2 linked regions of the Ovis aries genome follow. Each later gene encodes a partner of the first gene's protein in a complex. Links are inferred from orthologs where the notes say so. Each region holds a gene or a part of one and is shown on either strand. Other genes may lie near its edges. The genes, in order: KIDINS220 and XPR1.

Region 1 (15,866 bases):
GTGCCTTCATCTAAATTAAAGCATTTCTTACAAAGAGATAGACAATGTCATATCCATTTTAAAAGAACAAACTTGGCTGAAGTGACTTACATGCCAAGATCACATGCTCTGAAGGTCAGAAGACAAATTAGAATGCAAATCCAAATGGTCTACATGCCACACCACAACTGGCTTCCTGATGGCATGTGACCTTGATCAAAGGAAGGGGCTGCGGATAATTGTATAAAGTCCTTTTTACTCTAAAAAGTACATTCCTATCTTCTATGTTTTGGTGGTTCAATTTGTCTACTCTATCAGGCTGCAGAGCAACCTAAACTATTAGGTAATAACTACCACCTGAAGGATAATCTGCTAACTCTTTGCTGTTGCTGTTTAGCTGCTAAGTTGTGTCCGTGTGACCCCACAGACTGCAGCACACCAGGCTCCTCTGTCTTCCACTATCTCAAGTTTGCTCAAATTCATATCCATTGAGTCGGTGATGCTATCTAACCATCTCATCCTCTGCCGTCTCCTCCTGTGCCTTCGATCCTTCCCAGCACCAGGCTGTTTTCCAATGAATTGGCCCTTTGCATCTGGGGGCCAAAGTACTGAAGCTATAGTTAACTCTATGAGGATCTTTTTTCCCACACTACACATGCATTTTTCATAGGAAAAATCTGAATTAAAATGAAAAACAAGTGCAATTCTCTAACAGAAAATAGACTCCCTAAAGCCCCAGTGATGATGATCATGGGAGCATATTCACATTAGGACTATTTTCTTTTTTTTTTTTTTATTATTTTGGCTGCACCACACAGCTTGTGGGATCTTAGTTCCCTGACCAGGGTTCAAACCTGGGCCCTTGGCAGTGAAAGCAGAGTCCTAACCACTGGACCGCCAGAGAATTCCCAGAATTATTTTCTAACAAGCAAAGTGTGCTTACTTTCATGAATCCTTCACTTTTCAGTTTGTGCAGTCTGGAGGCAGCATTATGGAGGCGTTTCCTTTGAGAATTCAGAAGTGAGTCCAGCACCTGCCACCATGTTCGACAGTTCAGCACAAATGCCAACCCCACTATGGACGCAATTGATATGAGGACAGCATTCACTGTCATATGCTTCGGGTCAACTCTGAATATAGCTAGAAGAGTAATTGCAGCAATAATGCAGCCAAAGATGAAAAGGAAGATGACAAAAGATGGGAGACAACACGTTTTTTTCCATTTCTTTTTACCTGTAAAATACGACAAATGGTTTTAACATCTCAAACATCCAGAAAACCCCACTCATCACAGTGACAGCATATGACGAACCTGATGTTCATGTTTCCATGCATTTTGTCCATCCCATCCTCAACCTCTCCATATACAGAAAGAAGAGAAGACGGTCCTACCCTGCGTATCTTCAGTCTTGAACACTCGGAAAAGCCTGGTTGCCAAAAAGCCAAACTCTCTTTCACAAGCATCTGAGAGGGTGGCGATCATTTCAGCCATTGAAGTTTCCCCGCCTACGCTGGACAGTCTATTATAATCTGTAAACAAAAACCTTGGGGAAAGGGGAAAGAAAATGTTATGCTGCTACCTAAAGAAACAGTTTCAACATACATCATGTCTATCATGTAGCTGTGTTTCCTTCATGTCTCTGTCAAAACATTGTTTTTAAAATTCTATTTGTAATTAGGTATCTTCCATTTCTAAGAGCTTATACTCTTTTCTTAGGAAAAGACAGTAACAAAAGTTAAATTAGTAGAGTTATATGAAGCAATTCTGACTAAAAGCAGAAAAGGGAAAAGGTTATGACAGAACTTAGACAAAGGAGCCAGACATCTCCCCAGATCTCATGACACAACAATTCAACAGTGGCGCCCCACATCAGTCAGGAGCCGCACAAAGAACATTTTGTAAACAACAACTGAAGAGATTAGAACCTTGAGAAAATAGTATAGTAATTAAGAACTTGATGCCATTTAAAAACTCAAGCTTCAGAATGTCCTATTTATAGCTTACTCATCTACCAGGGGTTGAGAAAGAAGTTATATTCTTTTCCTAGTTGTTCTGTGAAATAACTGAATTATTTGCATTTTGAACCTCTGAATGGGTATTACTTCTGCATTAGTTCCTTTATTCCTTTCTACTGCTAAACTCCCATCTTAATCTTATAGACAAGCATTGCCTTCAAAATACAATCCAGGATCACAATGTACTCTATGTATGCCTGGTCTTAATTAAATTAATGCTATTTTAGTTGTTCTAACTTTTTATAAGATAATGATCTCATTAATTTTAAATGCTTTTAATTTATGTAAAAATATCTTCCCCAACTCTTTTTATTCTATTCTGTTTTCTTTTTATGTTTTTCATTTTAAATCATTTTCTTAACACTTAATCCTATATACCATTTATTTACCTGTAAGGTTTTATTTTTATCTTCCTCTCATAGTTCTGATGTCTTACCAGGTTTGGTCCATTCACTTTCAGCTTAACTTACACATATTTTATCTTTTAATAATTTCTAAATTCTTAATCTTTGCATATTTAATTATTTTACTAATTTCTGTTGAATTCCTTCTGCTTTCAGTTCTTTAACCTTTTTTTTTCCATTTTACTTTCCTCTGGGGCCCTCCAGATTGCCTTTACTCTTTGACTTACAAGTTTCTCATCTTTTCTGAACTGTTTGCTCATACCTTCCCATTATTATCAGGTATTATCATACCTAATAATAATGATATCATTATCATTTGATATGATGATAACTTTAGAAGAGTGGGTAAATACATATCCACAGGTGAGGAAAGAACAGCTTGGAGCACATGCTGAGTTGGCAAGGCCACACCCTGATGTCAAAAGGTTCCAGGACTCCATCCTAGACCCAGTACTCTTTACTGATTTGTCCAAAGGATGGTAACAAGTATCGTCAGGGGGCAATGTGGGGCTTCACTCAAATAAAATTTGGCAAACCAAAGTTAAATATAATTTTTTATGAAAAGGTGTCTCTGATCCTGTAATGTACATGAGGGAGATGTAATATGAAGAGTTTTCCAAGTGTATTTGACCAGGGCATGTTTATTTCTCACATTAAAAAAGTTTAAGGGATCAATGTGTTTTTTTGGTCTCTTAAAAAAACATGAGAAAAGATGCATTATCAACTTTCATTTGCTTCATTTTATTAAAAGTTACTTCTGTCAAAGGGACCAACTCACCTCACAGGTAGAGCTTTAGTGGTTTGCTCTGGCAGCTCAGGTGGGTTCACAAACATCAATTTGAGGAGGAGCTCCAAATAGCCAATATGTCTTGCCAATCTAGTACTGAGGACCCAGGCCCAATTCCAACTCTCTCCTTCCCTCCGTCCACCAAAGTAAATGACAACTAAAAGTCAAAGTTTTTAAAAAAATTATCCAGAACAATCATTAGTCAAGCAGCCTCTTTTCTGCAAACAGTCAAGTATCAAGTAGTGACAGGTAAGCTTACACACTTTTCATGGTCAATTGTTATTTCCTAATTAGTCCTCAAAGAATTCCTCAACTAATTAACCTCCCCCAACATACATCTGGAGCTTCCCAGAATCCACCTGCCAATGCAGGAGACGTAAGAGATCTGGGTTTAATCCCTGGGTCAGGAAGATCCCCTGGAGTACGAAATGGCAACCCACTCCCGTATTCTTGCTGGGAGAATCCCATGGACAAAGGAGCCTGATGGGCTAGACTGTGGGGTCACAAAGAACTGGACACAACTGGGCGGGCATCTGACCAACAGCAGTAGCAAAAACATATCATCAGGTATGTGAAAAAGAGAAAGTAAGCTGACTAAAATGTGACATAATAAACACAATCAGAAGGATAATGCCTTAAACCAAAGCATATCCTTTAGTTCAGATTCAAATGTCAGAATGACTGGTTTTATCTCTATTTGTGACTGCTATGAAGTTACCAACAGTAAACCTATTTCCTTTCTTGCAACTGAAGACACTCCTAAAAACAGGGATTATATACATTTATCACTTTGCTTTTAGATAAATAAAAATTACAGTCATGATCAAAATGATCAAGAGCATGCCATGATGTCTATGAAGACTTATTTTCAAAACAGATTCAAATATAAATCTTTAACATAAAAAAGGGAAAGTAATTTAAAGTTCTGCTTCAATATTAACAAGTAGTACACTAGCTTTTGAAGTTCTGCCAGGCAGGCTGGGGACAATGCTCCTGTAAGCCAACTTACAAAATAGCAAAAAATCAATATTTTCACCTAAATAGGAAAACCACTTAGAGACTTTAGAAAACAGACATAGATACAGTTTTAAATAAAATAAGGAGTTTTTACATTCTCTACATTTTTGAAAAAGATAAAAGGCAAAGACTTACTAAAAAATATATACAAGACAGCCAAGAAGCTCAATGACACTGCAATTCCAAGATTTGGGTCTACTGTAAAAGCAAACAATAAACCAAGCCCTCCACAAAGGAGCAGGGTCAGAAATACCACAAGCCATGAGAACTGAAACAGAGGTTCAATCTGTTGTCCTGCAAAAGTTTTCATTTCATCTGAAAGAGAAATTAATAAGAAAACATTATTTAAGAAATAGAACATTTTGAAAATTTCACATTTTCACTATAAACATTTATTTACCTACTAGAATGTTGCTACTTAACCATGCTAACCAATGTTCGCTTTTGCTAAGAATCTCATTCCTTAAAGGCACATTTACCCTTGACCCTTGCCCTACCCACTCTCTTGCGTCCTACTGAAAATGTACAAAATCCTCTCTCATATATTCCCATCTGTCAAGGTTTTGTTGATATTTTGAGATTTGTATTATGCAACCAACAAAGTATTATTTCCATATATAAAACTAAAAATTATTACTTTGCTATGTGTCTTCAGAAAACATAGCATCACCATTTCTCTGCACCTCCTCACCACTTCTCCCTCCAGTTACATTTGAGGATCACTGCTCTTAAAGGTGAGCCCAAATGAGCCTGGAACAAGTCATTCATTCCTACTACAAAACTTAGTGGGGAAAAAAAAAAAGGTTACAGGCAATACTGAAACCTGTCCTTGAAGAAACAAGTAAGATTTTGCCAAGCAAAAGGAGTGGGGTCTCAGGTCAGAGGTCGCGGGAGATGTCTAGGAAGCTCCTACAGAGGAGCCACTCCATAAGTGTCTGGTCTGCACCTAGCAGAGCAAACAGCCATCTGTAACTACAGCACTGAGCATGCACAAGAGGTAGTGCTAGAAGGCGGGAGCACACAAGCTGACATGTCTGCGAAGGGCCCTGGTTTAAGATACCTATAAGTTTAAGATATCTATAAACAGTACAGGCAGGAAATCTGCTACGGAGGGGTTCTAATGCAGTGGGATGTTTGTTTTAGAAAGAGAACTCAAATGATTGGGTGGAGGATCAATCACACACCCATACATAAAACTTTATTTTTACTTAAAAAACACACAAGAGAAAACCTTGTTATATACACAGACACTTTATAAACAAGCCCTTTACCTTCTAGTTTCTTGAGTAAGAAGGATTTACCACTTCCCCACTGTGCATACAGGCCCACACAAATGGGCGGCTGCATGGTAGGCTCACTGAGAATATCTGCCAAGGCACTGCTATACAGATCATAACCAAGCATGTCACCATCTGTCTCAGTAGGAGACAAGTGTCCTGTAATTATAAACACATGATACCCTAACATTAAAAAGAGACATTATTATTATAAAGGAGCATCAATTCTCAAGTATTAATTGTTAACTCAATTAAAGGAAAAAAAAGGCTGAAAGTGTTAGTTGCTCAGTCGTGTCTGATTCTCTGCGACACTATGGACTATAGCCCATCAGGCTCCTCTGTCCATGGGATTCTCCAGGCAAGAATTTGGAGTGGGTTGCCATTCCCTTCTCCAGGGGATCTTCCTGATCCAGGGAATGAACCCCAGTCTCCTGCATTGCAGGCAGATTCTTTAACATCTAAGCCACCAAGGTTAGACCTGTGTAAAAATAGGTTCAAAGGTTAATAAGTTAATACCATATTTCACAGAACTTAAGATACCTACTAATTACAAGAGGCATCATTATTATGTTCAACTGAGAGAAGAAATGTTGCCTAATTATGACACAATGCTTTCTCACCCATCAATTATAAGACAAAGTCCAACTTCAAGGATACTAAAATGTGGAGTAAAGTGTATTATAAAATCAATAAAAAGATTAAAACAGAAACTAGTCCATAGGAATCAATTTAATATGTACAGTACAAATAAAAATAAAGCTATAAAATGTTAGTTAAAAACACAAGAGATAAGCAGAGAAAAAAATATTCTATGGTTCCAAGCAGAAAGGGTCAATGACTAAAAAATAGCAATTCTCCCCAAATTAATCTATCACTTTAAGGCAATCTCAATAAAAATTGATGAGAATATTCTAAAAAATTAAAAAACAAGAATAGCTACGAAAAAAATTTAAAGACTACCAACAATTAGCTCTCTTTGGAGAAGAATCAAAATACATTCTAAAACTACAATAATTATAATACCATAGAACTCACACAGGATATTAATGTAAGTGGCATGTCTAATCAGTGGGGAAAGGATGAATTAGTAGGTGGTGTTGGGAGAAGTAAGCCATTTTTTTTTTTTTCCTTCTTTTTAACGAAATTAAAACTCTACATCTCATACTTCAACAAAAATAAGTTTCTGAAACAAAAAATTAAACATAAAGAGTAAAACTATAAAAGTACAAGAAAATACAAGAGAAAAACCTTTAAAAATCTTTGTGTGGAAAAGAGCTTCCCTTCTCAAGATAATATTAAAGCCAGAGCTGTAAGAAAAGGTCAACAAACTACAGATTTATATAACTTTCAAATGGGGAATAAAAAAACTCCCATCACCATAAACAAAGAATAATCTGGGGAGAGAGATACAATATTTAGCTGGATTCAGGATCAATATCCTTAAAAACACAAAAGTTAATTTTATTAAATACTTTAAAAGAAAAAGAGGACAAAGGATACAAAGAGGAAAATAGTAAAAATGCAAATAGGCTATAAATGTTATTAAAAGATCTCAATCTCACTAATAATTTTACAATGGAAATTTATATCAAATTTTTTTATTATCAACCTGATTAGCAAAGGTCAATAAGAAGCTGGAAATATCCAGTGTTAGCAAGGTTGTAGGGAATTGCACAAACGTGGCCTAAGGAAGAAGAGATTGTTACAGCCATTTTGGAAAGTCTATCAAAACTGAATACCCAGTGACTTGCCAGTTCTACTTCTAGAAGTTTATTCCAAGAAAATAATCCTAAAAATAAAGAGTTAATGGATATTTGTACAAGTATGTTCACTGACGCACTAGCTTTTAATTGTAAAACAAACAAAATATTTATCAATAAAGAACTGAACATACTATTAAAACTTTGAAAAATTATGCAACAATCATTTAAAACTTTTATAATATGGTATCTCAAGTTTTTTTTAAGGCTATATACATAGTATAGAAATGTAAAGAATTTACAATTTGTCCAAACAATGACAAATTAGGAGATAAGGGACAATGGGAAGACTGCACTTTTTTCTACTATATTTGTGTTTTCATCCTTAAAATTTAATGCATGTATTATTATCAGAAAAAATATTTTAAAATGCAAAACTCAATAGAATCATGCTTAAAAACAAGATATAAGTAAACAGCGAAACTGGAAGGTGGCAGGATTCTACTCTCTCCTGTTGGTTTCTAGGACTAACATGTCTCTTTTCAATTTGAGTAGAAAATTGCTCCATATTTCAAAAGACCACATGCGAATGATTAGAGTCTCATGTGCATCCTCTACAAGCAAAAACTACTTTAGTACAATATTCAAGGCATTATGCTGGGTGTTACGGAGGATACAAGATAAGAAGAAAGAAAACCTGCCCTGAATAACTTGGAATCTGGGAGAAAATTCTAAAAGAAACAAAATAAAAGGCCATATGTAATAGGTATTTAAAAAGGATTAACACAGCGCTTAAGTATTCAAATGAGGCAAAAATTTTATCTGGTTAGGCAGATCAGTCAAAACGTCAATGAGAAAGAGACGGTTGACCCCAGCCCTGGAGAAAGACGATTTTAACAAGAACATTCATGAGAATGGAGTGGGCACAACACAAGCAGAGGCAGAGAGCCACTCACTGAAAACAGAGCATGTTGATAAAAGAACAAAGTTTACCTGAGAGAATAACAGGGGGAAGAGATTTTTAGAAAAGTAGGCTAGATTTTTGAAGGTTTTAAAAGCTACTGTTGACTCTGAATGTACTTAATTTAGAATGCTCCAATATAATGCAAACGAACTCTAGACAGGAAGAAGTTACTTTTCTACAGCAAAATAATAACATTTTCACCTTTTATAATCTCTGGTTAAGTGATAAACACAAAACTGCTGTCATTCTCTTAATTTTTTCATAGACGTTCTTTCTTAAAACCTCAAGCAGATACAAAACCCAATACTTACTGGCTCCAAATATTTGAGTTAAAATACTTTTCTGATGGCTACAGTCAATATTGTAGGGAGTCTCGCCTGCTTTGTTGGGTCTATACAGTAACCGTCCATCTTTGGGGTTTCTTAAAAGGAGTTCTGCCAGTTTCCGACTCCTCCCACGAATAGCAATGTGCAGAGGGGTGTCTCCTTTCTGTAAACAGTGAAGGGACACTTGAACTTCCCCACTTCTCATGGACGAATATACAGAATAACATTTTTCATATTTCTACAAAATAACAGAATACCCAAACTCTCCATATTTTTCATATAAGTTTTTATTTCTATCTTCCTTGCAATTTTCTTTCTCTAGTTCCTTCCCTAGCTTTTCTTGGGTAGGTATTCTTTCTCCCAGAGCCTCCAGAATGAAAGAGCACAAGGAACAGGTTTCCCCTGCTGCTTCCCACAGGCCCTGGATCCATTTCCATCATAAGTTAATAGTACTTCCATCTACCATTCAGATACTAACTGTCCACCTATGTCAACCTTCTTCCTCAACTAATTTATATTGTATTTCACAATGCTCTCGTCGTCGGTCTACACAGCATCTCAGTCCATATTGGTATTTCACTACCATGAGTGAACCTGTCTTTCCCCATGCCCTTGGTCACCATCATCGTCTTTCTCTACACTTTCTCCCTCGGAGTCCTCTCTGTTGTATCCACGTTCTCTGCCTACTTACCACCTCTTCATTCCCTTAGCTTTCACCTCTCTCAAACATCAACCTGCCTTCTTCCCTTATTAGGATCTCCATCACTTTACTCTTCATATCCAGCACTAATGAAAACTATCATGTAAAAAAGAAATTTAGTCTGCAAAGACTAAACTTATTCTCCACCTTTTACTTTACAAACATCTCTTAAAGACAATGACCCAAAACCTAACAAATTAAATTCTTAGTTCCCGCCCACTCTGGTCGCTCCAGAACGTTAAATGGAAATGATGTGCCACGTTCTTCCTGTGGCTTATCTTGATCCTTCCCTCTTATTTCTCTGCAACAAGATCCACCCTGGTGACATCATCCTTGCATGGTGCTCAATGCAGCTCAGCTCCCCGTAACGGATCTGAGCCACAGAGGGAACACAGGAAGGAACTTCTTAAACTGAGCCTGCCCACTCCTCAGCACCTCTCAGAATAGCCAAGATCTCACAGCATTCAAATCCCACACAGATATCCCCAGTCAGTAATCTCTCCTTCCACAAAATAAAATGAGACTCCCCTAAGTCCACCAGGTATACAGGTTGGTCTTACCAACTGCCCTATGCTCTCTGCACAAATGTTTTAACTACCTTATCAACAGCAGACACTTTGGCTCCTTTATCCAGCAGCAGCTCTACCACTTCTATGTTTCTCATCTTGGTAGCCTTTATAAGGGGTGTTTCGCCATCCTGTGGGTACAGATAAAAAGGTTTGCCAGATTAATATCTTTAGTCTTTAAAGTCACATAAACACACGTCAAGAAGTCAAATATTTGCCCAGTCTATATTGAAAATGTTCTCAAGAAAACACAGTTGCAAAAACTAACAAGAAAGTGCTTTTCCTTCCATAACCAACCACTTGTATCAAAATACTTGTATGTCACTCAGCCAAGCAAGGGATGTACCCACTACTTGCTTATTAAAGAATGACCTAATTGCTTTCAAAACCAAATTAAGAGAAAGAAGGGACCATAGTTCAGCACTGAATTAGGAAGAAGCAAAATGTGTCAGAAGCCACATGTGGTCAGAGCAGCTGACACACAGTTTCAAAAGAAAAAAGATTCCAAGGAGCCTGCAAACCAGAAGGTATCCAGGGCACTGCAGTCACTATCACTAGTTCAGATAACACTGCTCCAAATCTCTGGTAGATGAAACAGGGCTGTATTATGGGTGCTTCCATAAGTCTGCTTTATTCAGGAAGAACTGCCATTCCATTTCAGAATTTCAAATATAATTTCCTCAAGAACAACTACTACACAGAAGGCCAAATATAATCACTGAGGTCTTATACAGTTTTATACTTTGCACATGGAGTAAAACAGACTAAAGTGGTTGGTTTGAGGAACCAATAACCACACAAACTGATCTTTTAAAAAGAAACATGTTCAGCATTCCAAACAACAGGAGCATAAATTAATTCTGGGGAAATGATCTGGCCACAGTTTATGAACAGCTGATACTGTACTTTCTGAAAGTATCTAATTAAAATAACAAATTACACAGTGTATTCTGCTGTGAATACACAACTCCTAAAAGGATATAAAGCTATTCCTCAACTTAATACAGAACACTACCGGTAAAATCCCTGTCATTCTAATATCAAACAGTTGTAAAAACTGAAGCAAAAAAAAAAAGCACTACTAACATTCAGCATTAGGTATTGCTAAAAGGATAGAAATGGCGTTTATACCTTCGTGCATATTTCAGTGTCAGGATTGCACTGTAAGATGTCTCTCACCATTGTTGCATTTCCTTTCTCAACAGCCCAATACAAAGCAGTTTTATTGTCCTGTATTAATTTTAAAAATCAACAATCACTTCATATAAGACAGAATATTAAAAATTCATCAGTATTAACATTTCTGTCAGAAAGCATTAATATATTTTACCAAGAAGCAGCATGATAGAAAATAATATTAATCCTTATTGTACCTTGCATTTACTTGTGGGAAATTCTTTACAAAAGAAGTCTAGAAAAACTTAACACTTCTTGATTAGGAAGCAGCAACCCCACACAGCTGATAGGGTCAACTATGCTTCTGGAATGCAATCAGGTTTCAGGACCCCGCACTGTGTTGGAGGTCTTCAGGACTTGAGCTGTGTCCTTTGAGAAGTCACATAAATATTCTGACCTTGGCTTGTGGCTTTTCATCTGCCCTATCTTTTCAAAAGATAATGCATGAGAATGTACTACACAAACATAAGCTGAATTGTTTCTGTCATTCTCAGCTTTCTTAATCTCCACCCATATCCATAAACTGATTTTCATCAGATCCTTTAAAATCCTATCTAGTTCAAACACCAAAAATAGATTCAAATGGATTTTGAAAGCAGAGCTAAAGAAGAAAAACAAAAACTGATTAAAATGTTGGAAAACAGAATTGACAAACACAAAGGAGTTAGATAAAAGTCAAAATAGGTGATCAAGGCACCTACTTTTAGTGAAAATATGATTTTTTCCTCAATGAATGACTTTCAGCCACTATCACACTGTTTGCTTCACCAACATTTTCTCAACACAGTTCCCTTCTCAAAACTGCACACTAGCTTCTGAACCTTCTGAGTTTGACACTCTAATCTGTACTTTACTAACCTCTAACTTTGTACTTTACTATCTCCCATCCCACCCTCCTTAACAATCTGATGTATTCATTAGCTAAGGACTACAGTCTTTCACTTTCCCACTTTCCTGAACTTTCTCATCCCATTATTCTACTATCCTTGCCTGAATTACTCAGCCTTTCTTCATCCAAACTCAACCAATTTTTCAAACTAGCAAATTCTACCTTCCCTCAAAAGTTCTCCTTAACGCCCTCTTTCACCACCTCAAGACTCTTACGTTTGAATCTTCACTAGGCAATCAACCATACACTATCTGATATCAAAAGTGGCATCACTTTTTATGTTTAGGTAAAAACGTAAGTTTAAGTATAAACTAAATGAACTAAAACCTTCCGAACTAAAATACATGTTTCTTACAGGCAAGAGGTCCATGTTAAAAGACTCTCATGGCATTTGGCGTAATGTTTATTAGTTTGATTCAAAAATGGATTTGTATACAAGGAAAAAACTGAGCAGAAATACAGACTGTCCAACAGCAAAATGGGTTGTAAAGTACAGATTTTTCTTTTTTAATCTAAAGCTTTTGACATACTGAATAAATTTACAACTTTAGGAGTGCTTTTACCTAAAATGAATAACCTTTATAGCTCTGTGAGCTGTGACTGCCTTAAACAAAGTCCACAGGCACTACCAAGTGGTCCTGAGAAAGGCAAGCAAGTGGGGGAAAGGAGATGAAAGACTGAAAAAAAAAAACAAAACAGGAATAGAATAATACACGGATGAAGAAGACAAACAGAGGGAGAACACTAAAGAAAACAAGTCACACACACTCAAAGTGCTGCCATTTCTCAGTATTATAAACTATTAATTTCAGGATTGAATATATTTAGTCATTAATAAGGGAGGTGTACTTGAAAAACATGAACTTATTTATGGTTCATTTCTATCTAACTTGACATTAATACAGAAATTTCAAAATAATGGCAGTGAAACTTAATTATACAGGCATCCATTAAATGTAGTAGTGTTTATGAGTTTAACTTCATATGAAAACTCAAAGAATGACATTATGATCAACCAACATATATGACCAATTACAGTCACAGATAACAGTCTGTAATCACACACACCTGTCCTCTAATGTCAATATCAGCATATTTTTGTAGAAGTGCTCGAACAATTTCCACATGACCACCTCTGACAGCACCAATTAAGACAGTATCTCCACTCTAAAAGGACAAAAAAAAAGACAGCCAGAGATAATTGATGAGGAAAACAAAAAATACTGTTTTGAAGTTAAGATTAATCATATATTAATACAATAAATTTTTTTGGAAATGTCTTGGGAAAAAAGTATCTCAGATACTTTCCATAAACAATAAAGTTTTAGGTAACTAGTATTAATACCTGATATTAATGCCTGTAGAATAAGGGACAGAAAACTATACATCAAAATGAGGACATTTATATCTGAAATTCCAGGACAAAAGTTTAGAAAGGTAAGTCACTCAGAACAACAAGCCATTCTATTTTGAAGGCACCCTCTCATTACAAATGTAAATTAAATAAAATGACGCCATGACTGTCAATGAACCAGATGAACCTTTGCAAATTACATAACACAAACCCGTTGGAATCATGCTATCTGACAAAAGCCACTGACTCTAAAGGGAGCTGCAAAGCTAGAGCCATCTGTGGGTTTATAACAACGTTTAATTAAGGGACAAGGTTGGTTCCCAGAACAGAATCTATATTCTACTTGGCAGTACAGACCAAGAATGCCCAGGACTGACTCATTCCTCAATACAAGGTTTAGATGAAGTTCATTACCTCATTAAGGACAGCTCTGCCCTAAAATTATATTCACCAAGCAATAATCATTATTAATTATATCTTTCCCTACTTCAAATACTGTAAATGGCCTTTTTTTTTAACTGCTAAATTACAAATCAGTTATACGGATTTGAGTTGTATCATTCCATGAGCTATAGCTCATCTCAATCCTAAGCGGGCCCCAGTGGGCTGCAATTCAAGATGCAGGCCATTGAGAACTGAGCCACGATGTAATATCTTAACTACTACATTAAAAGTATAAACCCATGGCAAAAACACTTTGAGAATATTAGCATTAATGTGGGTTCAAACTAGGATATTAACACAAGGTTCTAAATATTCCATTGCTTACTATGCACCATGCACTATTCTAGGCTCTAGGAAATAAGTTAGACAAGGTCCCACCTCCGGGAGAATGTATAGTCTAGAGGAGACTCACAGACAACATAAACAAAAATAAAAAACAAGATAAATGTAATGCAAATAAAAGAGAGTGATGCAATAGAAGGTGACTGGGGAGTGACTTTAGTCACTGAGAATTCAAGACTAATGTGTACAGTATGGGTCTTTAACCCACGGTAGATGGTGGAACAATCTGAGATGGAGAAGTCTGAGGGGAAAGCAGGTTTGGGATCAAACAAACAAAACATCTGTTTTGCTGAAAATTAAGAGGACCATTAGACACTCACATGGAAAGTTTAAGTGGAAATGGACATGCAAGTGTATACTTCTGAGAAGAGGTCACAGCAAGAGATACAAACTTGAAAACGCTATTAAGTGTAAGGGTGGTACCTGAAGTCTTAGAACAACGAACACCACCAGCCATGAACAAGACCTACAGTAAGGATGATTTTAAGATCACATTATCAATAACAATATAATTTTTTTTAACTGAAAAGAACACCCTTCACAAAGATTAAATATGTTTTAACTTATTAGTTTTAAAGGTAGAAATAAAACATCTTAAATATGTTATGCAGGAAGAACCTTGAAAGGTGTTGAGAAGTTAAGGTACCTTCCATCATTATCACCACTGGAAGACAAGTTCTAAATAGACAACCTACCCTATCAGGTATGTTCACATATGTCCCAGCATCAAGGAGATCCTGTACAATTTCTGTATGTCCCTCCTTCGATGCGATCATCAAGGCTGTATTTCCATCCTTATCTGTTAAATTTACATTTGGATTTCGCTTCAAAATTTCTTTCACTGACTGTGTGTAGCCTCCTTTTACTGCCACAATAAGTGCAGTCATTGAATTCTAAAGTACAAACAAAAAAGTCCAATAAATTAGTCATTTCAGACAACTTAATTTATGCCCTAGTCAAAAACTGATGTTTTCAAATAGGTGACCTATAATTACTAATTATTTCTGATAATAAAATGCCAACATAAATAATCAGAAATGATCATACCAAAAGTGGTCAGGAAGCATATTTTCCATTCTTGAAGATGTGTTAGTTCTCTGACATCAAAATCTTTAAATGATAACCTAAATTTGGACTCATTTACAATGAACAAATCCTCTCACAAAAGTACTGAATGGTAAAATAGCTGACAGGATGATTCAAAATTAAACACATTCTAAATGAAGTAATCCAAAGTAAGGTTAACAGACTTCAAACAAGTAACAATCTGTAATAGAATCTATACAAAAAATGTAAGTGAAACAATGAATTAAAAAGTATAGAATATTTCAATAACAGTATAATATATTCTTCTTTCTTATAGTGACCCAGAAACCACATTTTCAAAACGATCTTATTTTTAGAGGTTCTTTTAAAAACTTTTCACATTTAATTTATTAAAAATAAATCACCTAATATAAGAATCTGACTCACTGCAAAACAAATATTAAAATTTATTCTTGAGATTTTTATCTAGTTTGAGATAACATGCAATTCCCTTATAGAAATATTTTAGTTATTATATCAGCCCCTGGAACTAAGCCATAACTCTCAATATTAAATAACATAGCCTTTTCAGATTCTTCAGCAGTCAACATAGAGACAGGCCACTTATTCACTTGATAAACTGCCCAGAAAAAGGCAGGTGAACAGTATGGCTTCCAGGGTTGGGTAAGAATCATGCTCTGTCTCCACACAGCAGTAACATACTCCACGCCCCTTGAGGGTCGGCAATTAGCAGCTCTGCCACCATGGAAAATAGGAGGAGCTGGTTGGTATTATGTCAAGAAGTCAATATGACTTAGAGCCCACTCTTGCTACACTGCAGCCACAGGTTTGCTAGCAACTCTTCTCAGAAGCCCTCATGATCTACCTCACATAATCTA
Region 2 (16,646 bases), on another chromosome or scaffold:
ATGAACAAACTGGTTAGTCTCTCTAAGCCTGAGTTTCCTCATCAGTAAAATGAAGATAATAAATCATCTATCTATCTTCAGTTCAGTTGCTCAGACTCTTTGCGACCCCATGAATCGCAGCACACCAGGCCTCCCTGTCCATCGCCAACTACTGGAGTTTACTCAAACTCATTTCCATTGAATTGGTGATGCCATCCAACCATCTTATCCTCTGTCGTCCCCTTCTCCTGCCTTCAATCTTTCCCAGCATCAGGGTCTTTTCAAATGAGTCAGTTCTTAGCATCAGGTGGCCAAAGTATTGGAGTTTCAGCTTCAGCACCAATCCTTCCAATGAATATTCAGGACGGATTTCCTTTAGGATGGACTGGTTGGATCTCCTTGCAGTCCAAGAGACTCTCAAGAATCTTCAACATCACAGTTCAAAAGCCCTCAATTATTTGGCGCTCAGCTTTCTTTATAGTCCAACTCTCACATGCATACACGACTACTGGAAAAACCATAGCCTTGATTAGACGGACCTTTGTTGGCAAAGCAATGTCTCTGCTTTTTCATATGCTGTCTAGGTTGATCATAACTTTTCTTCCAAGGAGTAAGGGTCCTTTAATTTCATGGCTGCAGTCACCATCTGCAGTGATTCTGGAGCCCAGAAAAATATCTTATCTTAGCCAACAGGAATTTGTTGCATGGCTCAGGAAACTCAAACAGGGGCTCTGTATCGACCCAGAGGGGTGGGGTGGGGAGGGAGATGGGAGAGAGGTTCAAAAAGGAGGGGATATATGTATACCTATAGCTGATTCATGTTGAGGTCTGACAGAAAACAGCAAAATTCTGTAAAGCAATTATCCTTTAGTAAAAAAATAAGTTAAAAAGAAAAAAAATTCTATCTCACAAAACTATTGTGAAGATTAGATGAGGTAACAAAGCTGCTGACACCTTGTTCCTAACTGGTCAATAAATGCTAATTTCTTTCTCCTTAATGACAAAAAGAGCACATTTCTACTAATTCAATTCAAGGAATAGAGATTAGAAGTGAGAATCCCAGAGAAGACAATACTCTTTTCTCTATCATTCTGTGCAGGGGGATATACCAGACAATTCTCACTCATGGGATTCTCTTTATCTTCTTTTGTGCTTCCTAAGACTAGAGAGCTTTTTCTCAGGCCATCTCCAAATGTTCTGAAAGGAGTTGTGTGTTCAAAGGCAGCAACTCTTAGAAACTCTCTCAGGGAACCCAGAAGATCAAAACTATTTTCATAATAATACTGAAATGGAGCAGGGCCCTACGATCTTTTGCCCTTCCCCCACCACCCACGCCACCCTCGACCTGCCTTTTATCTGTGGAAAAACTTTAGTCAAAGATTAAGTTTGATCAGAGAAGTGAGAAAATGCCAGGAAAGAATCCTCCTGCAACGCGGGAGACCTGGGTTCAATCGCTGGGTTGGGAAGATCCCCTGGACAAGGAATGGCTACCCACTCCAGTATTCTGGCCTGGAGAATTCCATGGACTATATAGTCCATGGGGTCACAGAGTTGGACGCGACTGAGCCACTTTCACTTTCATTGAATCCATGTTAAATTTTGAGGTTTCCCAAGTGGAGCTAGTGGAAAAGAACCTGCCTGCCATTGTAGGTGGCATAAGAAGACACAAGTTTGATCTCTGTGTCGGAACGATCCCTTGGACGAGGGCACAGCAACCCATTCCAGTATACTTGCCTGGATAATCCCCATGGACATAGAAGCCTGGAAGGCTACAGTCCACAGAGTTGCAAAGAGTTGGGCATGACTGAAGCAATTTAACACGCAGCTTTATTTTAGATAAGGAAACAGCAACCCACTCCAGTATTCATGCCTGGAGAATCCCATGGACAGAGGACCCTAGCAGGCTGCAGTCTATGGGGTAAGAGTCGGACATGACTGAGCAACTAAACCATCACCACCAGTCATTATAAAGTATAGTCAAAGAGCTTTAGTCCCTTCTCAAGGGATATGGAATAGTCTGAGCCACATCCTGTGAGCTGTCTTACAGATACTAAAACCCCTACCACGTAGGAAAAGTTAACTGCATGATGACCAGACTGTAGCCATGACATAAGCTGCCAAAATTCTGAGAACTGGCCTCAAGGAAACAGGAACAAACCGACCATGGGACTGCAGATTATCTGTACTTAAAATATATGAAACGACGCTGGTCAGACCACCGATAATCAATTTCAAGATGACTGTCAGAGCTGACTGTGCTGTTTCTGCATATAGCTCCCTCCCTGCTGCTGCTGCTGCTACTGCTGCGTCGTTTCAGTCGTGTCCGACTTTGTGCGACCCCAGAGATGGCAGCCCACCAGGCTCTTCCGTCCCCGGGATTCTCCAGGCAAGAACACCAGAGTGGATTGCCATTTCCTTCTCCAATGCATGAGAGTGAAAAGTGAAAGTGAAGTTGCTCAGTCGTGTCCGACTTCGCAATCCCATGGACTAAGCCTACGAAAACTCTTGTCCATTGATTACAGAAGTGGGGCAGGTGTTGGTCTTTGGATAAGTATGTCATTTCCCCACTCCTCCCACTCCACCCCGCCCCCACTGCTGTTGCTGACATCCAAAATAAAGCAAACTTTTCTTTCCACCAACCTGGCCTCTTTATTGGTTTTTGAGCAGTGAGCAGCAGGGCCCCATTATCCACTACAATACTACAACATCATGCACTTTTTTCACTCATTCTTTCACGAGTACACACAGTGGAAGTTCCCAAAGACCACATGAAATGTGATGTCACGTCCCTGAAGGCTAGTAGAAGGTGTGCTTGTATACTCTGTGTTTCACACATCTCTTAGTTTTAATTTCAAACACAGCATATTATCAATAGATAGTGGAATCTTTTTAACAATTTTTAAGAGTTTCAAATGGTACCAAGACCAAAAAGTTAAAGAATTACTTCTCTAAGGTATAGAAAAAGCTCACAAAGCACATGGATTACTCTGTGAATTACAACTTTACCAATTTAGTCTAAATAAGTAATTCACACAATAATCTAAAAGCTTCTCATTTTCCTGTATGATGTTTCAGGGCTTCAATCTTCCAAAAAATGACTTGTTCACTAATTATCTGTGAATATTCAGTGACAGAACTGGTTCTAAGGACTTGCATCTCCTTATTTATGGTCTACAGTCTTTCTAAATTCTGCAGGTCATCTTCAATAAGAGATGACTATGTTTTCTTAATCATCACACTGTCCCTCTCATTACACATAATATGAAAGTTGCAAGTTATGCTTACAGCAAGTTAATTAAACTTTCCCGTGATCTATAATAAAAAACTTTTTAAGGCTTTTCTGATACCACACATACCACACCTGCCTAGTGATAGGAAGAAACAGGTAAGCAAATTTCCTTCTATAAACAATTAAATTTAAAGGTGTATAACGTAAAAAGTTTGAAAAGCCAGGAAGAATTCTTCCATATTATTTACATAGTGATCCAAATTTACAACCATGTTCCAAGTCCTCAATCTACAATCTTCCTTTTCTACACCATTTTAAGTTTTGAAAGCACTATGTTGAAATATGTGCTTGAAATATGACTGAAATATAAAACCAAACACATACACACAAAAAACTGGTTTTTGATAATATTTTTAAGATAAAAGAGATAGAACTTAATGACAAATCTATCAGCCTATAGCACATAACAGAGCCCTTATAAACATGTGTTGAATGAATAAATAATTTTTTTAGGCGTTTGTTCATGAGCATTGTCTACTTGACTTCTTTTAGCATTTCCTAGGTAAGGGGAAGACCTGAAAACAAAAATACAACCAGGTAAGACCCCTAGTGAATTTTGACAATCTCCCAAAGGCCAATTAAATAAATACCAAGCAACCCACAAACTACCTCCAGTTAAGCTGTACAACTTGAGCAAAATCTTCCAAACCTTTTTTGTTACATTACTATTTTTAAAAAGTTTACCATGCACCTCTAATATATGTACATTTATTTATAAATTATCTCCTTCTACAATTGTGTACATTATAAAACATGGAATTTTTAAATGGAAGTTTTAAAAGATGAGACAATAATAAACTAATTTAAACTTTCACTTGTGAATAATACAAAAATATTTTTAAGCTCTCTTAAGAAATTATCAATAACAATACTTTTAAAGAACAATCTAACAGAAAAGATTCACTGCCTTTTAAAATCCTAGTTTTTAGTATTTCAAAGGCCTAATTCAAACTTCAAGATTCAGTTAATTTTGAAACTTGATGATAATGGCTACAAGCTGGAAAACTGACCTTCCAATGCAGAATACTCTAATACATAACATATATTTAGGGTGAAGTTCACTATGGATGACAGTGGATGTTAAAATCTTAATTTGAAGAATTATTTTCATTATTTTGAAACTTTTTGGCAAGCCTGTTAGGTCTATTCAAGTAGCACTGTTTCTTCTGTAACTTGGCTGACAAAAGCTCGTGCTAGAAGTAGAACTGTCAGCTCTGCCATGTTCTTGTTGTTCATGTGTACTCACATTATTGGTTTCTTTACAGGAGTCTTTTTTTAATTCACATCCATTTTATATGGGTTAGTTTAGTCAAAATTAGGTAATAGCCATAAATTCATCTAACTATATGCAACTATAAACTGAACTGCTATTTCCTGAAAGTGAACAAACAAGTGAGAAAACTATTAGCGATTCTTGACTCTCCTTCAGACTACCTCCTAAAATGAGGTCATCTCATCAACATATTTATTCAATGTTAGTAAAATTTCATTTCTTCCTGTCTTACACATAAAAATGAGCATAAGTAACACTTCTAAAACTACCTTCTCTTCCTTCATGGGAGTGTTGGGTACTCTCCTTTGGGGCTATGATGCAACATACTCTATTAAACATACTCTAACATACTCTATTAAACAATGAAAATAACAGTAATAGCTTCCTATCTTATACAACAATTCACTCAGTTAAGAAACATGTGTAAATACCAGGCATCTTATTGCTCTACTCATTTACAAACGTTATTTTAAATATACTATACTATACTTTCATTTGCAGAGGTGCCTGAAAGGAAAAGTGTGGCTTGTGCCCCATCGGGTGGCCAAACTGGAAATTTCAAACAAGTTCCAGCAAGGCAAGTTAACCCTAACTAATCAACATAATTCCTTTGGGAAATTGAAGCCTGCAACACAAGTGTTCTCATGGGAGAATTCTATAAATGAAAATCACAATAATGTTATGGTGTTTCCTTACACTCGAAAAAAGGGATATGCATATTATGCAGAATCCTTTCCATATCTTGCAACAACAAAAATTAAAACTATTACCATCACTTTTTATTTGAGTTCAATAAAAGCTTCATTGGGTCAGTTTTCCATTCACAGATTAAGATAATCATCAAAATTTTTTTAAAAGATTATTAATTTAAAAGAATGCTTTTAATAGTAATACTTTAAGTTCTATCATCTTCATATATCAAGCATAATGAAACCATAAAAATGTACAGAAATTTGGAGCTATATGGGTTCTTAGAAAATAGAGGGCTGTAAGCCTAGAAATCAAGTCCAGTTCTCTCACTTAACAGATGAAGAACCTAAAGCCCAGAAGAGGAAGTGATTTCATCAGGATCACACAGTCAGGATGACCTGACTCTCAATGCTTACACCTCTGTGCTTAAGAGACTATATATGATACTGGACATGTAATTTAACCTTTCTGGATCTTTTCTTCCTCTGAAAAAACCAAGGAGACAGATAATCCGTCAATTCCATTTTAACTCTAAAATCCTGAAATTTAGATACCTCATTATTTTAGTACCTTACAAAACTACAGTATACACGGACAAAACCATTCCTGGTTCCTGAGAAACCAAAGCAGCACAGGACCCTAGGGAAGAAAACACAAGTCAGCAGCCAAAGGCACCAAATATATTTGCTTCTTTTGCTAATATTCTGTAAAATATTAACATGGTCATACCAGTCTGGTGGAAACTGGTCTAAATTAATTTTGATTAATCAATTACAGAGCTCTAAAGTATGCAATCACTGATTCTAAATTTTAAAAAGTGCTCTTGAAAAGATTTATTGATGTTCTGCATTACATGCCAAGATTTATACTCAAATAGATTACTGGAAACAGGGATAGCCTCTTTCCATTTGTGTTTATTCTTTGTAAAAACTATTCACAAATGAATCAAACCAATTTTCTTTGTATGATTTCTCCATGTTGCTCTAATCTTTATGCTTTATTATTCCACCTATGAAGATTGAGTCTATGAACTCCACGATTCATTTTTAAATTAGAAACTGATCATTTTCAGGATATTGATGGATCATTAACACTAATTTTAACAGTCCAAAAAATGAAAGCCATTAAAAGTTAAATCAAAACCCTACGAACTACAATGGATCTTAAAAAGCTCTAACCCTATATTCTTACTTTATGAAAGAGGACAGAAGCCAAGAAAGGCAAAAAGCCTGTCCCCATGGCTTCATGACAAACATATACAAGAATCAGCACTTACTGTATGACTGTGTGTACACAATAGTACATATAATCATAGAGGTAAAACAACATTTTCAGCTTCTGTCTAATGCTCTGATGTTTCAAGTAAAATTTAATGTAGCAAAATGACGTGAAAACCAAAATAGCTGAACAGTTCATAACAGTTCACAGCAGTAGAAAGCAGCCTACACTAGAAATCATGGGTAATATACCAAAATTTCATCACCAGTACTTGAAAAACAAATCCAAGTCTGCTCTACTAACAGCGTTTCAAGAGCATCATCTTCACATGTGAGAAACTACATTTTACTGCCATATGAAAAGGTTCTTCTCTCAAGCAAATGCTGACATCTTTCACGATATTCTTTTTTCCCCAAAGTTTCTAAGCTGCCAAATTCCTCTAAAGATTCTTATTTATGCCTCTTTATTTTTAAAGGAACAACACTAGGTCTTGAGAAACAATATACAACACACAGAATCCCAACCCTATAAAAAATGGCTCCAATTCAAAAAGAAAAGTGCTCTTTATTAATTTTCCCTACCAAATAAAGAGCTTACAAAAGACCCAAGTCACAGAGTAAGGACTCTCTGTAGAATAAAATTTCAATAATCTACAATTAATGCATTTTTTACAAAATAATTTTTAATTGGCCTAGGAAAAAATAACACAGTCATACATATGAAATGTGTTCCTCTCTGATCAACTTAAAGTAAACCATCTAGGACTAGTTAGCATCCAAATGCAGTATGTGAATTAAGTACCAGAATGACTCCAGCCACAAAGCTGGTATTATAAATCAAGAGGTAATTGCATCTTTAAGCCTTACGCTTCTCCTTCCAGCCCTAAAAACTGTATTCCAAATTAATACAATTCTATGAAACAGTTAAGAGCTGTAATACTTAAGATGAATCACAGCATACAACCAGTCACTATAACTTCTCCCCAGATGAAGCATTCCATACTATATAGGATGTTGCTTCAGGATGCCCTGTTCTATGAAGAACTGGCAGTGGTGCTGAAAATTACTACCAGAAAGATGAAAGACGAATAACTTCCTTTCAATAAAAACCATCATCTGGACTCTAGCCAAGGTTTTAAAACTGACCAAATGTTATTAGAAACAATAAATCAAGAGCTCTACAGGCTGAAAAGCTTGTCCCTTATTTCACTCTTACAAAATGTAGTCACAAAACACTATTAGAAAATTAAATGAAAGAAAGCGTTAACAACTCTAGGCCTTTCATTTCTGGCAATAATGAAATACTGTATGTTACCAGGTGAATTTACTTTACAATCTTCAAGGTTCTGTTTAACCTACTTATGTCTCTTTCCTTGCCTTCTTCAATTCTTACAACTGTTATATGAATAAATAAGCTTCTGCGATCGTCTAAACATCCTTTCAATGAACTTAAAATAGAAATGAAAAAGAGAACCAAAATATCTTAATTCATAAAATCTAGCTAGCATATTTGTGTTCGTATTGATTTTATACTCTTTGTTCCTGCACACAACACAGATGTGAATTACCGGAGGTTACAGATTAAGTCTCTCTATCCAGGAGCTGAACTGCCAGCCACTGAGAATAACCTATCGCAAAGCTTAAAACCCTTCAGGTATCTTGGCTTCTGAATACATAAATGGGCTCATTATCTTTACTTTTCCTTTCATTAACGTAAGGTTCCTTATCATTATCTATTAAATACCGTCCAGGAGCTGTTATCACAGAAATTAAGGGTGAGGAGGGCCATGATTTCTGTAATACACAGGAATGTTTTAAAAGTACATTACAAGACAGTACTTTTCTCCCTAGCTAACAAAAATTTTAGGAAAGAAAACCTGAAAATGTTAATAATTCTCTTCTCTTTCTTTCTTCCTCTTCCTTTCACTCCATTCCAAAACCGAAGAGCCAAAACCAAAGATATGATTCCTTTACATATTTCATGAAATCAGTGAAAACACGAGTCACCGTCTTATTATCAAAACAAAACAGTTGATTACGATGTTTGTCTACTGTAACCACTGCACGTGTGATACACATTTAAATCAAGTTTCGATCCTGTTACAAAGCCTTTGTCAACAGTGGGCAAGTGGGGGAAAGCTGAAGGGCTCCCTGAATTGAAGGAAATCACCGGAGGGGCTAATCTAGGAAGAAGATTCCTCGGGGAGAGGTGAGCCGAAAGAAACAAGACCTAACCTTGGCGAGGGGGCGCTCGCCCAGGGTGGGGACCAGAGGTCAGGGTGAGCGGGAAGAGGAGGGGATTAGCGCGGAACCGCTGTACCCCGGGCTACCCTCACACCCCGGCTCCGCTACCTGAGGCTCGCCCTCCCACCACCATTCCTCAGCCCGGGCCGGGGGTGCAGTCCCTCCCGGCCCGGAGCCCGCAGCCCGCATATCCGTTACCCCGGCTGCAACGGGGCTGCGGGGGAGGGGAAGGTCAGCGGGGCCCGGAGGGGGCCGGCCGCGGCTGGGATGCCGCAGTGGCTCCCCGTCGCACCGGGTCAAAGTCCGCCCGGGCACGGGGGAAGCAGCAAGAGCGGAAGGCGGCGGTGGAGGTCGGGACTTGCGAGATGGTGGCCCCTCCAAGTCCTCCCACTCCCCGGCCGCCGCCGGTACCTCATACTGGATATATTGCTTCCTCCACTCGGGAGTGATGTGCGCGGAGAGGTGCTCGGCGAACTTCATCCTGCCGTCTCCCCTTCACTCCTTCTCGGGTCCAGCAGTTACAGGCGGCGGCGGCGGCGGCAACAGCGACTCCGACTCCTCCCCACATGGGCCCCGGCGCGGCGCGGCGCTGCGCTTCTCTCCTCCTCCGCCGCCGCCGAGGTCTCCTCAGAGCCGCCCTCCCGCCATCTTCCTCCTCCTCTCCATAGCCCCGCCCCGCCCCGCCCTCTATACGTCATCGCCATGGTAACCGCCTACGCGCCCCGACGAAAAGGGCGGAGTAAGGGGCAGGATTTGGGTATGTTCCTTAAGGCTCCGCCCCTTCTGGGCCGGACGTACTGAAGGCACCTCCCCTGACCTCTTCCGTCTGGCTCCTGTTGGCCTTACAGCTGCTCGCTACCGCCTGCCTGGGAAGCAAGTGTTGTTATTGCAATTAATATTAATACTGTAGCAGCAATAGTCCACACAATACGTTTATATTTGCAAAGATTTGTGCAAATGTTTTTCCATTTTAATATTTATTCCTCATAAAACCCTGAAAGATGTATCGACATTAATCCAAATTGAGTAACTAGAACAGACTAAATACTTAAGGGCCAAATGTATTTCAAGGAACCCTATTTTACACGCTCTAGGTGCTCAATAAATGCTTATTGAATTTAATTAAAGACATCAGTGCCAAAAATTACATGCTGCCTCTGAATTTCAATGTAATTATCTTGTCCGGGGGATACCAGAAAGGCCAACAACACATGGACCCAAACTAGAATTGGGATTACCACCTGGGCTTGTGACTAAGCTTCCTGGGAATTAGAAGTGGTGTTGAGAGGGAAGCCCATGTTGGAAACAAAGAGAATTCTCTAGAGATAGGTTGGAACCCCACCCTCAGGAAGACCAGACATGAGTACATTTTGCGGGCTGAGTGTCCTCAGGGCGCATGCAGAACAGATCACTCACACAGCTTGGCACCACTTTGAGTGTGGGAGTAACTGATCTGGAGGACCTGATTTTGGACAGGAACCAAGGTCCTTTCGTGACTGGAGAAGCCCTGTATAATGTTAATGATAACTAACATTTGTTAGGTTCTCACTGTCTACGTAACAAATACTATTCTAAACACCTTACATGCACAGTACTTTGTCCTGTAATTCTCACAATTTTTATGAGACCCAAAGACTAAGGGACTACAATGGTTAGGACAGTATTCTAAGATATCAGCATCTACTATTGGCATATTTGTGTTTTCCTCCATGTATTTTTCCCCTTTCCCCTTCCTTTTAATTCATGCCAGTGTGGATTCTGCAGTTATTTCCTCAGGACAGGGATGATGCATGATGGAAAACAGTCATGGGCTATGAGTCTTTCTGACTTTTATTGTACAGAAAGCTTCAACCTCTGGTGAAAGGTTAGATCACTCACACAGCTTGGCACTACTTTGAGCGTGGGAGTGATTGACCTGGAGGACTTGATTTTGAACTATAACCAGGGTACTTCTGGTGAAAGGGTAATTGGGGTCAAAAAAAAGGAGAATAGAAGAAGGAGTGAGGACTCCTCTCAGCTTTGCACTATACCCCTCTGCTCACCATAACAGTTCCCCTCTACTGGAGGTAAATGTTGCCAGGAGAAAAAGACAGACAAGAGAGGTCCATGCTCCCAGGAAGGAGGAACAACCACAGAGAAGAAATGGTTGCATGGTGTTCCTAGGAGGACAAAACCAGGAGCAGCTGCAAAAGAAATTGCTGAGCCTTTACCAGATATGGATTAGAATGGCTGACTCTTTGTTTAATTGAAGTATAGTTGATTTACAATGTTTCAGGTACATATCTAAGTGATTCAGATATATATACATTCTTCTTTTTCAGATTCTTTTACTTTAGAGGTTATTCAGTTCAGTTCAGTTCAGTTGCTCAGTCGTGTCCAACTCTTTGCGATCCTGTGGACCTCAGCACGCCAGGCCCCCCAGTCCATCACCAACTACTGGAGTCTACCCAAACTCATGCCCATTGAGTCAGTGATGCCATCCAACTGTCTCATCCTTTGTCGACCCCTTCTCCTCCTGCCTTCAGTCTTTCCCAGCATCAGGGTCTTTTCAGATAAGTCAGCTCTTCGCATCAAGTAGCCAAAGTATTGGAGTTTCAGATTCAACATCAGTCCTTCCAATGAACACTCAGGACTGATTTCCTTTAGGATGGACTAGGTGGATCTCCTTGCAGTCCGAGGGACTCCCAAGAGTCTTCTCCAACACCACAGTTCAAAAGCATCAATACTTCGGTGCTCAGCTTTCTTTATAGTCCAACTCTCACATCAATATTAAATATAGTTTCCTGTGTAATACAGTAGGTCCTTGTTTATCTATTTCATGCGTAGCAGTGCGTATCTTTTAACCCCAAATCCCTATTTTATCCCTTCCCACCTTTCTCCTTTGGTAATATAAGTTTACTGTCAATGTCTGTGAGTCTCTTTCTGTTTTGTAAATAAGTTCCTTTGAATCATTTTTTTAAGATTCCTCAGGTAAGTGATATCATATAATATTTGTCTTTGCTTGATTTACTTCACTTAGTATGATAATCTCTAGGTCCATTCATGTTGCTGCAACTGGTATTATTTCATTCATTTTATGGTTGAGTAATATTCTTTACCTCATCTTTACCTCTTCATCTTTTGATGGACATTTAGGCTGCTTTCATGTCTTGGCTATTGTAAATAGTGCTGCTATTGAACATTGGGGTGCACCTTTTCAGTTAAAGTTTTCTTTGGAGATACGCCCAGGAGTGGGACTGCTGGATCATATGGTAGCTCTATTTTTAGTTTTTTAAGGAACTCACATATTGGTCTTCATAGTGCCTGTACATATTTACAGTCCCATCGACAGTGTAGGAGGATTCCCTTTTCTCCAAGCCCTCTCTAGCATTTATTGTTTGTAGACATTTTGATGATGGAAGACTATAGACTCCTGGCAGAAACTCCTACAGTTTGTGGCAGTAACTCCTATAGCAGTAACTCCTATAGCCTTCTCCCAACAGCATCATACCTTGGTGCCTCAACTGTGCACAAAATTCTGGAACCATGACCCAACCGAGGGAAGAAAGAAAATCCTCAATACTAGCTCTATAACAAACAATTTTTAATTTTTTTCATGACATTCAGTTGGACATGAGCCCCAACACTTAGAGCTCTGACACTCAGTTGGACATGAAAATCTTAATTTATCTACAGAAGTAGATTTAATGATAAGTGTCCTATTCCTAACATTACTTCAGATAGTTCACTGACAAAACCATCAGATACTTAGTATTTATTGAACACCTAGTTTCTACAGAGCACGGTGCTAAGATACTAAGAATGATAATCTGAATAGTTTTAGTCTGAATCAGAAGTGTTAATTACATTTTCTTTTGTAAATAGACAACTCTTCGTTTATCAACATTTTACTAAGTACTATGATATGTCAGCCATGCCACTTTGAGAATGAAGGACAGTTCAAAAATAAACATGATTCTGTCTTTTCCTCGAAGGACATCAAAATCCAGTCAGAAAGCGAGATAGGCCAATAGCTAGACTACTATGTGATATGCACTGTAACTGAGGTATCTACAAGAGACCTTCGGCTAACTAGGAAGGAAAAGTTGGCATCCCAAAGAATGCGACTCAGATACGGTCTTAAACAACAATCTGACAGGGAGAAAGACACCCCCAAAGATTCCAAAGGCAAAAAGAATTCAGGACTTAGAGAATGGCAGGCTTCCCTGGCGGCACAGTGGTAAAGAATCCACCTGCTAATGCAGGAGAGGCGGGTTTGATCCCCGGGTCAAGAAGATCCCTTGGAGAAGGAAATGGCAATGCACTCCAGTATTCTTACGTGGGAAATCCCATGGACAGAGGAGATTGGTGGGATCCATGGGATCACAGTAGTCCATGGGTCACAACTTATCAACTAAACAACAGCAACAGAGAATAGCACAAAGTTGTCTGACCCAAAGATCCTTTAAGGCAGCTAAATGTCCCTGCCTCAAAGAAACTCTTCCCCATTCCCTTACCTCCTTACCCATTCTGGCTCCCACATCCCCCCGGGGCAGTCCCCTCACTGTATCATCAACAGTGTCAGGCTATGAACTCCTTGAAAACAAAACACACTTTTCTCTCATTTTCTCCAGTTTAGCATGGTGCCTGGCATTGAAGCAGTCAATAAAATATTGATGTAACAAAGGAAAGAAAGAAAAAAGGAAAGAAGGACAGGAGAGAGGAAGAGAGGAAAGAAAGGGCATCCACATGGAGGGAAGTTGCAGGAAATCAAGTTCAGTCAGTTCAGTTCCGTCGCTCAGTCATGTCTGACTCTTTGCAACCCCATGAATCGCAGCACGCCAGGCCTCCCTGTCCATCTCCAACTCCCAGAGCTTACCCAAACTCATGTCCATCAAGTCGGTGATGCCATCCAGCCATCTCATCCTCTGTCATCCCCTTCTCCTGCCCCTAATCCCTCCCAATATCAGGGTCTTTTCTAATGAGTCAACGCTTCGCATGAGGTGGACAAAGTATTAGAGTTTCAGCTTCAGCATCAGTCCTTCCAATGAACACCCAGGACTGATCTCCTTTAGGATGGACTGGTTGGATCTCCTTGCAGTCCAAGGGACTCTCAAGTTGGAACAAAATTGTTAAGGAGTAGATCATGACAGCATAGGCAGTGCAGAATCTTTGGGAAAGTCTGTGAAGTGACCAACTCTGGCTTGGGAAAGCAGTATAGCGTGCCTTCCTGGGTTTGAACTCTGGCTCTAGGAATGAACAGATCTGAATTAAAACTCCAACTCTGACATTTGTAGTCTTTGTGACTTTGGGCCAAGTACATTAGTGCTTAATGCATCAGTTTCCTCATCTCTCACATGGGAATAATAACACTTGCTAACAGGTTGTTGTGAAGGTTGAGATTCTGCATATACAGCGCTTGGCATAATAACTCACCTCTGGTTGACAACTTAGTAACTCGCAGTCTCTCAAAAACCTGTTAACGGCATGAAGGATGAACTAACAAACTGGCAACCAATTCACTAATAAGCACCTATGCAGCATTTAAAGGCTTCCCAGGTGGTGCTAGTCGTAAAGAACCCGCCTGCCAATGCAGGAGACATAAGAGACATGGGTTCAACCCCTGGGTTGGGAAGATTTCCTGGAGAAGGGAATGGCAACCCCACTCCAGTATTCTTGCCTGGAAAATTCCACGGATAGAGGAGCCTGCCAGGCTACAGTCCCTGGGGTCGCAGAGTTGGACATGACTGAAGCAACTTAGCATACATGCATGTACCATTTGCTCTATGCCAGACAATTTTCTAACTGCTTAGCAAATACAAACATATAATCTTCACAAGGACCCCATGACATAGCTACTATCATTATCCTCATTTTAGAGACGAGTAAACTGAGACAAAACAGTTAAGGACTTTGCTCAAGGTTATCCACCTAGTAAGTGGTACAGCTGGATTTGAACCCTGGCAATCCAGCTCCAGAGTCTTACTCTTGACCATCACATTACGCTGACTGTTGATGCAACAACCTAAGCCACTCATAGTGATGGACAGAAGGAGGTGGGGCAAGTGCCTCTAACCCTAGTGACTGGCTAGACACTGCTGCCATGAACTGAGAAATGAAGTGAAGAGCAGATTTGAGGCATTGTTGGATGTGTTAAATGGTTAGAATCTATGAGACACATAGTACTCCAATTGAAAACACAGATCTAGAGCTCTGAAAAAAGAAGACTGGGCTGAAGACTGGGGAGCCATTCACATTTAGGTGATGATTAAGTCCTGGTAAGTCTGCCCAGGGAGAGAGCATACACCAAAATGGAAAGGGGCCCCAGGGATTACCCTGGTGTGAGCCTGATAAAGAACATGGGACAAAGAAAGAGGCTAGGGTGTGGCCAGAGTGCGTAACAAGACAATAAGGAGAGAGCAGTGTCCAGGAAGCCATAAAACAATGAAAGTTTCATAAAGGAAGCAGTGACCAACACTGTCAGATGTTACAGAGGGTTAAGGAAGATAACTTCTAGGCTGTTGTGTTTAGCAATTGAAGACTCACTAGTGACCTCAGAGAAAGTGACTTCCGTAGCATGAAGGGCTGCAGGAGGCCAAGCGGTGAACAGCATTCCTAAATTGCCTTTATTCTGTGTGCATGGTGTAGATCAGGGGTGAGAATTTACCAGCGTACTCAGCAGTTTATCTAGAAATTCATAAGTGCTGAGTCTGAACACTTCATATTTATCACACATAATTCTAAGTTTGGGAACAGTTATACTTACCACAAAGTAACTCTTCTAAAACTTAGAATTATGTGTGATAAATATAAAGTCAAACTGTTGCTTGAGCAAATGAGACTGGTGATCATGCTGAAAGGTGAAGATCTGACCTGCAGAGAGATCAAATCTTATACAACACTTTCCACTGAAGCTGAATTATCTAAGATGTCCTGGCAGTAAAGATGAGTCAACCCACAGCATAGGAACACTGGTAAAGATGGTATTATAATACCCCAAGGCAGGTATGATGGTGGTTTGTATCAGGAGGTTAGCAGTGGAGGTGATGAGAAGTGGTTGGAAATTGAATGTATTTTGAAGACAGAGTCAGCAGGATTTACTGGTGGATTAGACTGTGAGCAAAAAAAAAGAAGCATCAAGGATGACTCCACAGTCTTTTGCCTGAGTAATTGGAATGAGATTGGGGGACATCGCAGAAGGAGCGGGTTTAGGGCGGAAAATGAAACTCAAGAATTCAGTTTGGGGTGTGTTATGCCTGTCAGACATGCAGATGGAAATGAGCAAGGGGAAATTTATGGTTTGGAGGTCATCCAAGAGGCCCTGGGTCAAGATATAAGTTTGTGGGTCAACAGAATATAAAAATATGTAAAGCGACTCATGAAACTGCCCAGGAAATGAGTATAGATAGAAAAGAGACGAGCTCTAAAGACAGATCCCTGGAGTACTCCAATGCTTTAAGGTTGGGAAGACAAAGATTTAAAGTATAAAACAAAGCAAAGTGTTAAAATATAGCAAAGGATAACAATTTTAAAAGGATATTTTTCATTGACAAATGAGAAAACTGTGGTTTGGAAGGTATGGCAGACACTGGTGAGGTTTGGGAGTGACCTTCCTAGATGATGGAATTCCCCCATCCCTTAGGTCTTGATAGGAGGCAGTGCCCAATAGGTATAAAGTGAGTAGATATCCCTACCCCAGCTCTGTGGGGGTATGAGGCCCAGATTTGGCCAGTCAGATGTTCCTGCCAGGAATTTTGTCTCACGTGAAAGTACCAAAAGATGAAATGATAGACAGAGCATATTCTCAGAAGCTAAAGCAGATTTCAAACTTCAGCAGTGAAAATGGTAGTAAATGCCCAGAGCTGGACCGTCAAAGGCAGGGTCCTGATTGTTTCACTGGCATGACCTCTGTGCTGTTCTTGGCTATAAGCTTTTCTTGGCTTCTGCCTTTTTCTTAGAATTGTTTACAAGACTT

The links.
Region 2: the proteins of KIDINS220 (region 1) and XPR1 are in contact, whole or in part, in a cryo-EM structure (PDB 9JXQ), measured with the Homo sapiens proteins. The link is inferred for Ovis aries from reciprocal best matches to the Homo sapiens genes KIDINS220 and XPR1. Residues at the interface, in NP_065789.1 of Homo sapiens: Glu36, Cys37, Gln39, Asp70, Trp72, Met102, Trp105, Trp110, Tyr113, Lys114, Val138, Ile142, Trp143, Gly146, Arg147, Ser166, Asp167, Lys168, Tyr169, Gly170, Trp176, Arg179, Lys180, Gln198, Glu199, Gly200, Ala201, Ser203, Lys234, Arg267; in NP_004727.2 of Homo sapiens: Leu95, Lys189, Lys190, Gln193, Glu197, Ala200, Asn204, Glu205, Ala636, Asp637, Asp638, Leu641, Leu642, Gln644, Met645, Met646, Asp647, Gln648, Asp649, Asp650, Val652, Arg653, Asn654, Arg655.

The regions. Positions count from the first base shown.
Region 1 is NC_056056.1:18,278,532-18,294,397, forward strand, and holds part of KIDINS220 (kinase D-interacting substrate of 220 kDa), read right to left. Parts: intron 14,835-15,866; coding exon 14,637-14,834; intron 12,969-14,636; coding exon 12,870-12,968; intron 10,967-12,869; coding exon 10,868-10,966; intron 9,868-10,867; coding exon 9,769-9,867; intron 8,634-9,768; coding exon 8,456-8,633; intron 5,640-8,455; coding exon 5,475-5,639; intron 4,519-5,474; coding exon 4,339-4,518; intron 3,344-4,338; coding exon 3,178-3,343; intron 1,524-3,177; coding exon 1,372-1,523; intron 1,213-1,371; coding exon 923-1,212; intron 1-922. UniProt on the Homo sapiens protein: Promotes a prolonged MAP-kinase signaling by neurotrophins through activation of a Rap1-dependent mechanism. Provides a docking site for the CRKL-C3G complex, resulting in Rap1-dependent sustained ERK activation.
Region 2 is NC_056065.1:61,203,520-61,220,165, reverse strand, and holds the start of XPR1 (solute carrier family 53 member 1), read right to left. Parts: upstream 9,346-16,646; 5' UTR 9,173-9,345; coding exon 9,104-9,172; intron 1-9,103. UniProt on the Homo sapiens protein: Inorganic ion transporter that mediates phosphate ion export across plasma membrane.